2 linked regions of the Notamacropus eugenii genome follow. The protein of the gene in region 2 purifies or fractionates together with the protein of the main gene of each other region. This does not show direct contact. Links are inferred from orthologs where the notes say so. Each region holds a gene or a part of one and is shown on either strand. Other genes may lie near its edges.

Region 1 (7,347 bases), on a different chromosome or scaffold from region 2:
ACCTTCCACGAAGCCTTGGGGGAATCACTCCCCTTTGCTCTTCGGATTTATAATGTATATGGGGGTGGGGGTGAGATTCCTTAACACAATTGTCGGGGTGGAGACCAAATAGGGGAGCAGAAAAGAAAAGAGAAAGCCGGAATGCAGGCTGTGAATGCCATCCCAGAGTCGGCGGCGATCTTGGAGCTAATGTGAAATGTGACCAAGAGAAGCGAATTGGGAAGGGAGGCCCAGGGGTTGTGACTGAATATATCTGTCTTAATTGTAATTTCCGAATTCTGTCTTGCCCAGCATATCTCCTGATCCGAGCCAAGCGAGTGACCCCGCCGGAGAATCTGGGCGTTACATCGGGGTTTACTTGCAACCAAGCGGCGGCCCACTGGGACTGTCTTCAGACTGTTTGGGGGCTATCTTTCCCCGGAAAGAAAGAAGTTGGAAGGGAGGGGAGGGCGGGTCAACGACGGGCCGAGTTTTCACATTTTTATTATCATTAATATTAATAATAATATTATTACCGCAGTATTTCACGCCGGAGAGCTAAGACAAAACTACAAACACAACACATAGAAAAATTAATAAAATAGAACTTTGTTTTTCTTCTGCGGCTGCTCCTCTTCTTCCTTTTAGGTAGTCTGTGCTCCTTCCAGTGAATTAAGGGGGGAGGGGAAGAGGCGACAGGTCTGGGGGACAGGGGGAGGCCCCCCCCAGAGACCTCCCCTCTCAAAAGGGAAACCAAATTTCTAATTCAACCGTGCATGGGACACTGTACAAAATGAAGACAAGACACGGAAAACAGCAATTTGCTTTGCTTCCGGGAAACACAATATGAGCGAGTTCCTTTCGGTCCTCAGTTAGAGTACACAAACTAGGAACCCCAGGTAGCTTTTGTGGGAGGGTTAGAGATGTAAGAGACAGAGAGGAAACCGTGGAGTAGGGGCCTATCTGGGGCTCTAGTGGCTAGCAGCTGACGGGAGAAATCTGCAGGGTGGGAGCTCCACAGGGAATGGAATTAGTCCGGCCTCTCTCTGAGGTGATTAAGAATCTCTCATCCACCCTCTTCCTGTTCCCTCCCACGAGGGCATCTGATAATATGCTTATTTTCGTTTCCCCCACCTCAGCCACCTTCCCAGACATTCCTCTTCACTTTCCTTCCCTCCCTCCCTCCCTCTGTCCCGGTCCTTCCTGGAGATCACTCTGTGGGCTTTTCTTCCTCTGCCTCCGGGCTGAGCTGGGAAGAGTTGAGCATCTTGTTTTCCTTTTTCCACTTCATTCGTCGGTTCTGGAACCAGATTTTGATCTGTCTCTCGGTCAAGCAAAGGGCGTGGGCGATCTCGATGCGTCTTCTTCGAGTCAGGTAGCGATTGTAATGGAACTCCTTCTCCAGCTCCAAAGTCTGGTAGCGCGTGTATGTCTGACGGCCTCGCCGCCCGCTGGGCCCAAAAGAAGAACCTGTTAAGTGGAAAGAAGACATTATGACACGGTCACCCTCTCTCCGTCCTCTCCCTCCCACTCCTGTCTGGGGACCCTGGCTTCAGAAGAGTAAAGATGCCTTCTCCTGTGGCCCTGACACAGTTTTCCCCTTCCTTCTCAGGTCATCTCCCTCTCCACCTACCCTCTAATCTCCTGGCCTCATTGGTTTGCTCTCTTTTCCTTCTTCCTCATCTCGCTTTCAGGAGTTTGTTGCTTTTGTGGCTGTGGGAGAGATCCTACCTGAGGCTACAAGACTGCTGGGAAGGAGTGGGGAGAATTAGATAGGCGGTAGCCAGGTGTTTGTACCTCTTCTGCCCCCCCCCTTCCACTTCACTTCCAGATGGCTAGCCTCTCTCCCTCCCAACTGGTGATAGATTTGACCATTTAATCCACAATGACGTGAATCGATCCGTGATACTCTGCATTAACGGTCCAACACTTTCGTGTCCTGCTAATGGACGTCAATTTGAGACCTTAAAGACAACAAATAATCTGATCTGATACAGACACCCATCTCTGTCTCTCCTTATCCCCTTGATGATGAGGAGACAGGCTCTCTATGATACACCTTCTCTACCTTTCCTCTCTAGGATTACCTCTGTACTCCATGGAGCACAGACCCCTAGCCTCAACCTTCCCTTTCTCAGTATTTACTGCCTGCCACCCGCCCGCTCCCAACCAACCAAGACATGACTCATTCCATTTCTAATGGGGCCGGCTACTTGGGAGTAAGAGAAGGGAGTCGTGAAAAGGCGAAAAATGAGGAAGGAAGGTAGTAGGGACCCTTTCCCCTTTCCTCCTCAGTGGTAATCTTCCCTTCTCTCGGACTCCCCTACCCCCACCGCAGTGCCTCTTTTTAGCTGTCTAGAAAGGGAGGGACTACAAAGTTTAGAACTCCAACTGTGAGAAGAGAGACTCATCTTCACTTTCTACTTACCTGGAACCCCTCCCCCCTCAAAACACACCTTTCGGGGGGGGGGGGAGGGAGTCTCCAGGCCTATGAGGGAGGGGATGGTGAATGCTTGATGAGAGCCCCGGGTTATTTCCTGTTCCTGTGGGGAGGGACAGGACCCGACAGGCCCAGACAGGCTAAAGGGTCAGGGGGAGGGAGAAAAGTATTGAAAAGCCTCACTCACTGTTGCATGAATTCATCCGCTGCATCCAGGGATAGACAGGAGTGGAACACTTCTGCTCCTCACTCTCTCCGAAAACATTTTTGTCTTGGGCGCAGTCGGACTTCCTCGGCTCGGGGTGGAAGGGGGCAGGCTCTTCGCCGCTGGAGAGGGCGCAGGCAGACTCCTTCTCCCTATAGAAGCCGGCTGGCCCATAGTCACAAGCCGCAGCCCGGTTGTAGCCCCCGCTCGCCGGTGGGTAGTAGGAAGAAGAGGCAAAACCCTTGTCCTGGACCGCCCCGGTCCCATACGCCGCGGGATAGTGTCTTAAAGGATCCGCATAGCCCGAGGAGTACAGCGGGAGCTGACCCAGGAACGACTCCTGTCCGTTGGACAGAGTAACTGGGAAGGTGGAGTTCACAAAATAGGAACTCATTGGGAGGGGAGGCGCGGTCGGTTCTGCTGAGCGGGCTTTTATGATTTGTTGTGTTTTATAGTCCGAGCGCCTTAGCTATTAGTAGTATATCCGAGATTGGGTTTTAGCTGAAGGGGGATGGCGAGGTGCCAGTGAGGGACAGAAGGAAATACAACCATATGATCAAACACTGACCAATAGCAGAAGCAGGAATTGCCAAATAGCACCCATGAGGAGCAGGGCTCGCACGAGGGACCCCGGCGCACAAACCTATCAACCTCTTTTTTCTTCTTCTTCTTCCTCCTCCTTCTCCTTTTTCTTCTCTCTCTCTCTCTCTCTCTCTCTCTCTCTCTCTCTCTCTCTCTCTCTCTCTCTCTCCTTCTCTCTCTTGCTCTCACTCAACAACAGAAACAGAACGCACCCTTCCCCACCTACGTAGGAGCTGCGAAAGAGGCTTCTGTTACCGCTAAGAGGTGGGGGGAGGGGTGGGGGAGGACTTGGAAAAGAGACTACCCCTCCCCGATCCCAGAATGATGAAATAAATATGCTCCTGTTCCTCCCTTTCCTCTCCACTATAAGAGATGGAGAAAAGTTAATTGTTCTAAGAAAAGTTAATCCCTACAGTCCTTATGACCCCCTTCCCCCAAGGGGAATATGTGGGGAGGGAAGATTCGAGTACCCCGTTGAGATGGACTGAAGAGAAAAGGTTTAATTCTTTTTCTTTCTTCTTGTTTTTAAAGGAGGTAGGAGGGGAGCGGAGTTCTCAGCTGTCTAATTAGCTTCGCTCTCAGGAAGGGGGGGGGGGGTGTGTGTGGAAACCGCGGCACTGGTTTCAAAAATCGTCTTTCCTGTTTATCTGATCGCCAGCTCTAAGCCCAGCCCCGGTCTCGAATTCCTGCCTCTCCCCAACTCTTTGTGCGTTGGGGGGTAGGGGGAGTGGAGATAGCCAGTTGGAGCCCAGCTGTAGGGGGGTGGGGGGAGAACGAAACGATGAAGAAGGTGCGAGTGGTGGTGGTGGGAAATGGACAATATCAAAGGGTACCCCATCCTGGACCTTACCGTTTCGAGTTTTCACTATGCCCTCTGGGCCACAATCGCCCTCCTCCCTAGAGGAAGGTTGCAGTCGCACAGATAAGTGTCTCTCACTGTCCTTCTTAGCAGATCTTAGCAAAGGTAAGGGCACTAGAAGTCGGGACGTTCACTTTTCCCCTTTCCGTAGACGGAAATGAGAAGGCAAAAAGGGGACCTTTGCTTGGATTTTATCTCTCTATTACAGATTCTGTGCTTCGTCGTTCCTTTCCACTTCCCAAGAAAGTTAAATGATCTCTTACCAACAACAACAACAACAACAACAAAATGCTTTGAGCAAGCTCAGGGCATTAGGATTTTTTAAAAATGTCAATAAAGTGCTGACAATTTCCCGCCACTTGATCTTTTCTCTTCAAATTCTTCCGTGCTCCTAGGGGATAGGGAATTGCCCCAACCAAATCTCCTCCTCCTCCAATTTTCTCGGAGGAGCTGCTATAGATTTTAGAGAATCTATCCTCTGGCGTTTTGATTGTTCGGTAAAGGAGGAAGTAGGGGCTGTAATTTGAACGTGGAATGAGCGAGAAAATACATTGGGATATCCCCTCCCCATCCACCCCCAATTATCCATCCGCAGCAATTTCAAATCCCTTCTGAGTCTCTATCTGCTTCTCTCTCAAATTCTCCTCTATCCCATACCCTTTAAGGTATGCAACCCCAAAAGCTTGCTGCCCAGGCATTGGACTCTGTGACTTGCTCACATCCCTACCTCCTCCCCTATTCCTCTCCAGAGAAGCTGAGTATTTGTAAATCTGGACTCATTGCAATGTTAATAAATTTTAAAACATTCTGTTTACACAAGAGGAGTCACTCTTTTCACAGACAACAGCTTTTCAGGAGTACGGGCCACCCCTAGACAACCGGGGAAAAGCAGCCTAGACAGCAGAGGGGGAATTCAGCTTGTCTTTGCTTAACTGCCTAACCTCTAGCTCGCCTCACGTCACGGTCTCGCTTTGTGTGGGAACCGGACCCTCGTCCAAGTAAAAGCAACCCTTTAGCCAAGGAATGGAGGTGGCAGGGGAGGCAAGAGAAAACCATGGGCCACAGGGCTGACTTAGTGTGTGAGGGATGGGGGGAAGGTGTGGAGTAGGTGAAAAAGTTGGTCGGAAGAAAAGCGGCGGCGGAGATATCAAAAGGACACAGGGAACTGGCAGACTTCTAGACCCGACTTGCCCCCCAAGGTCTCTAGGTCTCTGGTTCCCAGCTTCAGTTTGTCATTTTTATAAGACCTAGAAGATGTAAGGAAAAACAAAACAAAACAAAAAAGACCTGGCGAAAGGTGGAGCTGGGGGGAAAGCCCCAAAGACAGTTATCGATCTGACATCTCTCCGTCGCTATTGGAAAGTTGAATTCCCGATGTAGCTAACCCAAACTGATTTTGTCTATTTGGTGGAGATGAGAACTATTTGAGTTTCTGGAGAGTCAGAGAAAGAGCTTTGTGTTGCTCTCCCCCCTCCCCCTGCAACGACCACCTGGGATTGAGGACAGTTCCACCGACAGCAGCCCTCTAGCCCTCACCCCTTTCTCTCTTAATTTATTTTCATTCGAAGGCATTGAGATTTGGACTTCGTAGCTTGGGGATGGTAGTGGCTTGTTTTCTGGGAGCTGTAAGGACTGCAGGGAGAGGGGAGGAAGAGCTGGGAAAATTCTAACATCATCAACAGCAATAATCTCTAAGTTCCCCACGACTCTCGACAGTTGCCTGTCGGGCTGTCAGCCGCAACTGCCGGGGTCCAGGGGCGCCTGGAGCCGGCCATGAAAGAAAATTGCGGCTCATTGCTCTTATCTAAGCCGAGAGGTATTTATGGGCGTTTATTCGTCTGATCCGTTTGTTTGGGATAAAGACCAGGCCGGGAGTACTTGGTCTGAGACGCAATAGGCTCTGGAGCCAAATCGTGGTGGATCTGTTTGTAGCTGTGTCGATCTGTCTGTAGATGCGGGTGCATAAATAAATAGACATGTACATACATTTGTGTCTGTTGGAAGTATCTCTGTGGATCTGTAGCTCAGTCTACAAATGTGTATGTGTCAAACAGTTGAGTGTAAGTCTGAAGTATACACACACCTAGATCTGCATACATGCACCTAGGGGTGCCTGTGTTTGTGTGTGTGTGTATGTATAATTCTCAACCTGGGAACCAGTGACTTTTTAAGGGACCGTGTAGATTTCAGGGAGTCTGTGAACTTTGATGGGGGAAAAATTACATCTTTATTTAATCTGTAACTGAAATTCCGCATTTCCTACGATTATTTAAAACCATTATTATGAGAAGAGGTCCATAGGCTTTCCCAGGCTGTCAAAGGGGTCCACAGAAAAAGATTAAAAACCTCTAATCTAGTATATCTTAATCTTATAATACTACCATCTATCTAGGTTAGCTATCTGGGAAAGTGTAGGTTTAATTTTGAATATGGTATATTACGGTCATGTGTACATGCAAGCATTTGTTTCTCCTGTTAGTTTTGGTTAAATTGTGCTTCCTTGGCTGGTATAAATCTCCTACCTATATCTGGTTTAGAAAGGGAGGAAAATGGGAGTATATAGGAATTGGAGTCACCTTGCCTTGAGTCACTAGATCTCCAGGGTGCTCAACCTTCCTTGAGTTGAGGAACTTTGGTTAGGCTACTAGTCACTCAATTCCACCCAGGAATTCTGCTCCCCCCTCAAACTATTCTTAAACTTAGGGGTCACTGCATTACAGCAGAAGCTGTGAACTTACTCAAAGCAAAGGCAGAATAGCCCTGGAAATGAGTTTTCCATAAGATTGCCCTAAATCCTAAATGCTGGACAAAGACCTAATTTGCATTATGGAAATTGGTACTAGGCATCTCTTATTTTCCTTGGAGGTGCTTACATGAAGCTCACCACTTTCTCTCTTTCTCTTCTCCTTTTCCAGATTGCTCCAAACACCAGAGTCACAGTTATGAGACCTTCTTCACTTCCTGCCCCCCCCCCCCATCCTTTTCCTCACTCTCACCCTCACCCTCACCTTCATCCCAGGCTAATCCTGAAAGTAGAAGTTGAGTTTTCCCTTCAAGTCAAAAAGGAATAGAGCCTTTTAAGTCTCCTTTACTCCTCAGCCCCCTCAAGTGACAACACAGCGGTGGCCTTAAATCAGGGGACTTATTGAGGCCATAAAGTCTACTCACATGAACAAGGCTCTTGAAAGGACAGAGGCTCTGGTTAGAGAACGCTGGACAGCCCAGGAACCACAGGGGTGCCCCTTCCAACAGTCCTCTACAGGGAAAATCACTACAATTTCT
Region 2 (7,015 bases):
GCTGGGCAAAACCATTCATAAGGGAATGTGTAGTAAATAGAGCACCTGCCCTGGAGTCAGGAGGACCTGAGTTCAAATTCAGCCTCAGACACTTGACACTAGCTTGTGTGGCCCTCAGCATGTCACTTAACCCCAACTGCCTCACAAAAAACCCCCAAAATCAAACAAACAAAAAACATTTCAAAGGCCCCTTTCCAGCTCTCCATCTTCTCACTCAATGATCTTATATTCAGCTCTCCTGGGTTCAATGACAATCCCTATGCCTATGACTCCCAAAGCTTTATGTATCTAGCCTAATCTCTCACCAGAATCTAGTCCCCCACAAATTACCTACCCATTGTACACTGGAATGGCTATCCCAGACACATCTCAAAATGGACATGACTACGGCCATGGAAGTTTCTTTCAAATAGGGATCTTTCTATTCTTGTCTATCTGTATTGTCGGGGCCTGGCATAGGGTCTGGCACTTTGGGAGGTGCTTATTAAATGTTTCTTGACTGATCAGTGTCCAAAACAGAATCCCTTATTTCCCCCCCACAAACTCACTCCTCTAGAACAAACTTCTTTACTTCTGCTGACAGTAAGCCTATTCTTCCAGTATTTCAAGTTCTTAACCTCAGCCCTGTCCTCCACTCCTCACTCTCCCTCTCTTGACAGACTCAGTCAGGTGCTCAATCTTCGTGTTCTGAGCCCTGCCTTAGCTCAATCTCCTATCTGTACGGTTGCAACAGCCCCCAACTGTTCTCTCCCCACTCTCATATCTTCCACAAAACTGTGAGTGACTTCCTTGAGAGAATGATGTCATTTCCCTACCCAATAAACTTCAGTGGTTCCCTTTTGCTCCAAGAATCAAACATAAAGTAGTCTGCTCGGCGTTTAAAATCCCTGGAAAACACAGCCCCAATCTACCTGTACAGCCTTCTCATATATTACTCCCCTTCCTGCACTCCTTGATTCAGCCATCAAGTTTTTCTTGGTTTCCTTTAGAGATGGCCTCCTTTCTCTGCTGTCCAATGCACTGGCTGTCTCTCAAGCCTAAAATGCTTTCTTTCATCATCTCCTCCTCAAAAAGCCCGTTTCCTTCAAAAGTCAACAAGCATCTTATTATCCATGCTTTTCCCTCCATCTCCAACCTAGCTTGTATTTATTTCAGATTTATTCCATATATATTTATATGGGTACACTGGGCTTATAAGCCCAATAACCTGTAAGCTGTTTGAAAGGACTGCATCATTTTGGGTTTTGTATAGCAGAGGTCTAGCACACGGAGAGGGCTGAGTAAATTGTCTGCTGATTAGATTGATATACTTCCTAGAAAATTATTATTCCACTGCCCTTATTTTCAAGGCCGAGGGTTTTTTTGGGTTCTGAAAATGAGTTCTCTCTGGCCTAGCAAAATTCCTTCAGAATCAGATAAAATATACAGTAGTACTAACTTACAGGACCAGCCTAGTCTACTACTACCTTTTGTTTTTCTGTTTTATTATTTTACTAGATTGAGGACAAAAACCAGGGATCAGCTACTTATGAGAAACTGGCATTGACAAAACATGCCCACGGCCCAAAAGGATCTTCAATCGGTACCTTCCGAATTAAATGAGATGTAGGGGAGAGTGGTAATAAATGACAGGGCCGCTGGCCAGCGGTTCTCGGCCCCGGCCGGAGCAGCCACCTGGAGGCTCCCGGCCCAGGAAGGGCTGGCCCGGCCTCGAGCGAAGGTCCGGTATCGCCCCCTGCCCGCGGACCCGTGAAAATCCACGGCTCGCTATTATGAAATCAGATCAGTGGGGCACGCCAGGAGCCGGGGAGCCCCCCGCTCGGCAGCACGGCCGGACCCCGAGGCCCCCGCCGCCCCGCACGCGCACCCCGGCACCCCATCTCTCCGCGGTGTTGCATAATGCACGCACGCTGTCAGGCCAAGTTGCTCCGAAGCCTTCCGTGGGAGATGGCGGTGCGGGTGGGGGTGGGTGCCGAGCGTCGGGAGGCCCTCGGGCCCGCGGGGGCAAATCCCGCAGCGGAGCCGGGATGGAAAAGTACGGCCTCGGAGGCGCCGTGACAGGCGGCCCGGCCCAGGCCCCGCCCCGGCTCCCCGGCCCCGGGCAGGCCGGCCCGCGCCCCCACGTGCCGGGGATCCCCCCTCCCCCCATGAGCCGCCCCCCGCCGCCCGCAGGCCCTTGCCTCAGACACCTCCTCCTCCTCCTCCTCCTCGTCGTCGTCCTCGTCGTCGTCGTCGTCGTCGTCGTCCTCGTCCTCCTCGCTGTTGTTGCTGCTGGGGGCGCCGGGGCCGGGGCCCGGGCCGGCGGGGCCGTGGTCGCTGTCGCTGCTGCTGTCGCTGCTGCTGGGGGGGCGGCAGGTCCGGCTGCGCTTGGCCTTGGGGTTCTGCGGCGGCGGCTTCTTCTTGAGCAGCAGGTCGCACACCCGCACCAGCCCGCGGGGGGCCGGGGACGAGCCGCCGCCGCCGGGGCCACCGAGCTCCCCGGGAGGGGGGGCCGCCGCCGCCGCCGCCGGGGGGCTCCCGTCTCCCTCCGCCTCCGCCGGGGCCGTCGCCTTCTCCATCCCCGGGACCAGGCCGGGGGGCGCGGGGGCTCCGCTCAACCGCGACGGGACCACTGGGCGGTCGGGGCCGGGGCCACCGCTGCCGCCGCCGCCGCCACCGCCTCGGTCACCTCTACTGCTGCCGCCGCCGCCGCCGCCGCGGCTCCGCCAGCTCTCACCACCTCTCGCGATACTGAGGGCGGGGAGCCGTAGCGCCCTCCGCGGGGCGGGGAGGGCCGGAGAGGGGGGGCTGCGGAGAAGAGGGAGGCCCGGGGGGAGGGGGCCGAACAGGGAGACGGAAGGACAGAGGCGAGCAGGGAGGGGAGGGCTTCTCCAGGGCTTCCGTTCCTCGGCGCTGCGGGAGAGGGCCGCCGCCGCCGCGCGCCGCTGGCCAGGCTGCCTCGGGTGCCTTTCCTCTTCGTTCCCCCTCCAGTACACCCCCACACACCTACCTTCCCTCCCTGCTACTGTCCCCTCACCTCCCTCTCCGGCTCCCTCCCTTACCACTGAGGAGTGTGTACTGCGCAGGCGCGGCCGGAAGGGCCGCTGACGTCATCAGGCCTCGCCGCACGCCGCGCGCGCCTGCCGAGCAGCTACCTCTCGCGGAAGCGGGCCCTTTGGGGAGCGCAGTGCAGTGGGGGTGGGGGGAATCCTACCCCCACTTCCAAGGAGCCGACGGCGAGCTCTAGCCGCATCCGGAGCCGCTGTAGAAACGGCTCTTCGGGTCTGAGCAGGCTCTGCGCGAGACTGGCTGCCCGAGAGGGCAGAGGGGCCGCCGGGGGGAGGGGAAGGAGAACGGGGGGCAAAGTTCGTTCCGAGGGCCACCCCCCTTGTCTCCCAGGGACCCTCGGTGCCCGGCGGGGTGCCCCAGACGCAGGCGCGGCCTAGGCACGCAGAGCGGAGGGCAAGCCGGCCTGATGCCTCAGTTTCCCCCTCTGCACAGTGGGGGGTGTGGACCGCGCCCACCCTGACGGAGCAGCTGCTCTGCTTTGAGCAGCGGTGGCTCTCCCCTTCCCTCCCCGCTCCTGCATCGCCAGGCGCCCTTTACAAGCAGACCATGCCAGCCAAGTCCAGGCCTGCCGCGCTCCGCACCCGTGGCCTCCCGCCCGAGACGGGACGCTTAGATCGCTCTTGCAGACTGCTAGCCGTAGCCTGGGATCTCCCAAAAGTCTGAAACAATTTTTGGTGTTGATGGCTTTAACGAAGTGTGCTTTGCACATAAAGCAGCAAAGAGGTGACGGCGGCAGGAAGCTGGATTGGCAGCAGCTTAAAACTGGCATCTTTTATCTAGGTTTGTTTTCCTCCCAAAGGAAAAAGACATGTGCAATTCTAAAGAAATGGGATTTTTTTTTTTTTAATTTGGTCTGTAAGAGCAACTTGGAATCACAAAAAGGTTCGCATGGGGCTTGGGCACTTTGTTTGCCCTGTGACTTCCCAAAGGTCACCCACCCAACCGCTCTGGGATACACCTGCAAAATCAAGAAGCTGGACTAAATGGTTTTGCCTCTGGAGTCCCAGGACAGGATTTCAAATCCGTCTCCTACACAACCTTTTGACCTTGGTCAAGTGATTTAACCTCCCTTGGGCCTTAGTTTCATCATCTTTCAAAGGAGAAGGTTGAAGTAGATGATCTTCCAGCTGTGAATCGATGATTCTACTACCTTTCTGTGATTCTGATAGGATTTCTCAACAATTAGTCATTGTAAAGGGTTCATAGACATCACCCCCAGCCCAAGAGCACAAAGGGAGTAGGAGCAGAGCCAGGATCAGAACTCAAAGCCAGTGCTTTACACCATGTAGTCCGGATTCTGGTTTCTCCACCTTGAGATGTTTTTTATTTCCAAGCTTGCTTAAGGAAATCGAATTTATCTTCCTCAGTCATTTTTGCAAAACTCCGTAAAAGAAGATAAAACTATTTGATGGTTTTGCTGCTTTCAGCCAAAAGTTAATGGAAGATGAGACAGTATATATAAACTATTTGTGAAAGAAGTTTGACTCGATCACCCCAGACTTCCTTTCCAGCTATGATCCCCTGCTGGGCCTACCACAATGTTTTACACAGAATTCTTTCACCAGTTTAAAGCATACTAACATGAACTGTTTTGTTGCTAACAGTTAGGATTTATATAGCATTTTAAAGGTTGCAAATCTCTGAACATGTTATCATTTGATCCCCACCAAGCCCTGAGTCTGGTGCCTTTATTATTCTACTTTTACTAATAAGGAAACTGAGACTGACAGAGGTTAAATAATTTCCACAGTCATACAACTAGTAAGTGTCTGAGGCAGGATTTGATTTCAAGTCTCCCTTTCTCCAAATCCAGCACTCTTTCACCCTGTACCACCTAACTGTCTCACAAAACAAGGGAAGAGTAAAAGGCAGCAGGGCAAATGTGCTTTTGGAATAGGAAGCATAATTAGGCAGAGAGTGAAAAAACCAAAACCAAACCTGAGAGCCAGAAGGGGATGGCTCTTAGTAAGCCTCTCTCCTGCAGGGAGAACGACAGTTCTCTTCAACCCCCTCTCTCAGCCAATGGTAATGAAACTCCTCTTCGCAAACAGAAGAGAAATGGTGGGTAGGCATGTACAGAGCTCCTCTGACAATACTCTCTATGGGGAAGAGGTAAATGAGGAGCCTGACATATTGAAAGTAACTTGAAGAGACTTGAGACAGTGTACATATATTTTAAAACTGGTTTTAGTCTGCTAACGAAGTAGTTAGGAGAAGCCATTTTGATTGGCTGACGCATGAACTGATGCTGAGTGAAGTGAGCAGAACCAGGAGAACACTGTACACAGTAACAGCCACGTTGTTCAATGACTAACTCATGAATCTGGCTGTTCTTTGCAATGAAAGGATCTAAGACAACTCCAAAAGACTTGATGGAAAATGCTATCCAAGTGCAGAGAACGTACTCTGGAGTCTGAATGCAGATTGAAACATACTATTTGCTCTTTTTTTGGTGTTTCATTGGTTCTAATTCTTCTTTACAACTTGCCTAATGTAAAAATAGTTTTAATATGGATGTTGATGGAGAGCCTATATCAGATTGCACGCCATCTTGTGGAAGGGAAGGACATGAAGGGAGGGGAGAAAATTTAAAACTCAAGCTTATGGAAGTGAATGTTGAAAACTAAAAATAAATTTAAAAACAATTGAGATATCATTTCAAGAAATCATGAAAGAAAACTGCCCAAATTTATTAGCACCAGAGAAAAAAGCAATAATAGAAAGTATATACTAGTCAAACTTCTAAAAGAAGCCCCAAAGTGCAAACCTTCAATAATTCCATAGCCAAAATTCAGATCTTCCAGGGCAAAGAAAAGAGAATACAAGCAGCCAGAAAGAAACAGTAAGAAGGCAAACATGAGTCAGCAGTAACAATAAGGGATTAAACGGGGAAACATGCTTTATAATGGAAAGGGAGAAATAATACACGTGTCCCTTCAGCATCCAAATGGCACCAAGGGTCATGGAGGGAATCAAATAAGGCAGCCTGGGAATGGTGTTGTCGTGTTTTAACGACCTTAGTAAAGAAAAAGAGTGGGGAGGGGGAGATGCACTAGGGGAGATTGGAGAGGAAAGGGAACTTACCTCTTAAATCACATCCAAGTAGAAGTCTATACAAATGAGGAAGGCTTTAGAAAAGTGGTTATCACTTCATTCTCACTTTTACCTGAACTGGCCAAAGAAAGAGGGAACACAAAAGAATTTAGGATGGAGATATATTCAACTAATTAGGGAAATGGGAACAAATGCAAAACAAAAGAGAACAAAGGGAGGAGGAGGAGGAGCTTTGGGGAGGGATTAGTTATAAATAAAACAACTTGAATCAAGAATCTTGAAGGGGGATTTAAAAAGAAAGTAAGGGGAAGTACCTGTGATAAAGAGGTGGTAGAAAGCAAAGGGAGGAAAAATTAGGGAATAGGAGGGGTAAAAATACTACAAGGTTCTCTGACAGAGGTCTCAATTTTCAGATGAAGAAATCAAAATAGTCATATGAAAAAATGCTCCAAATCACTAATAACTAAATGTAAACTAAGGCAACCACCATATTGCAAAGTTGACAAAAAGGAAAAAAATAACAGTTGTTGGAAGAGCTATATGAGAAACAAGTACGCTGATGTACTTTTGCTAGAGCAGGTAACTGGTCCAGTCATTCTAGAAAACAATTTGGATCTATGTTCCCAAAGTTACTAAATTCCATGTGCCGCTTGACCCAGAGATACCAATAGGCCTAAAAAGACAAAGAAAAAGCAAAAAGTCCCACATGTCCCAAAAGTGTATTGGCTCTTTTTGTTCTGGCAAAGAAGAGGAAACGAAGGGAATGCCCATCAGTTGGAAAAGGCTAAATAAGTGTTTATATATGAATGAAATGGCATACTATTGTGCTGTATGAAATTATGAAGGGTACAATTCCAGAAAAATGAGAAGACTTTTATAAACTGATGCACTTAAGAGAGCAGAACCAGGAGAA

What was found. The genes of interacting proteins can lie anywhere in the genome.
Region 1: the proteins of ANKRD17 (region 2) and HOXB6 purify together in Homo sapiens (co-immunoprecipitation; 3 studies listed by BioGRID and IntAct, with this or other methods). This does not show direct contact. The link is inferred for Notamacropus eugenii from reciprocal best matches to the Homo sapiens genes ANKRD17 and HOXB6.

Annotation. Positions count from the first base shown.
Region 1 is NC_092873.1:352,427,165-352,434,511, reverse strand, and holds HOXB6 (homeobox protein Hox-B6), read right to left. Parts: upstream 3,019-7,347; coding exon 2,607-3,018; intron 1,450-2,606; coding exon 1,190-1,449; 3' UTR 467-1,189; downstream 1-466. UniProt on the Homo sapiens protein: Sequence-specific transcription factor which is part of a developmental regulatory system that provides cells with specific positional identities on the anterior-posterior axis.
Region 2 is NC_092878.1:153,499,890-153,506,904, reverse strand, and holds the start of ANKRD17 (ankyrin repeat domain-containing protein 17), read right to left. Parts: upstream 3,018-7,015; 5' UTR 2,559-3,017; coding exon 2,181-2,558; intron 1-2,180.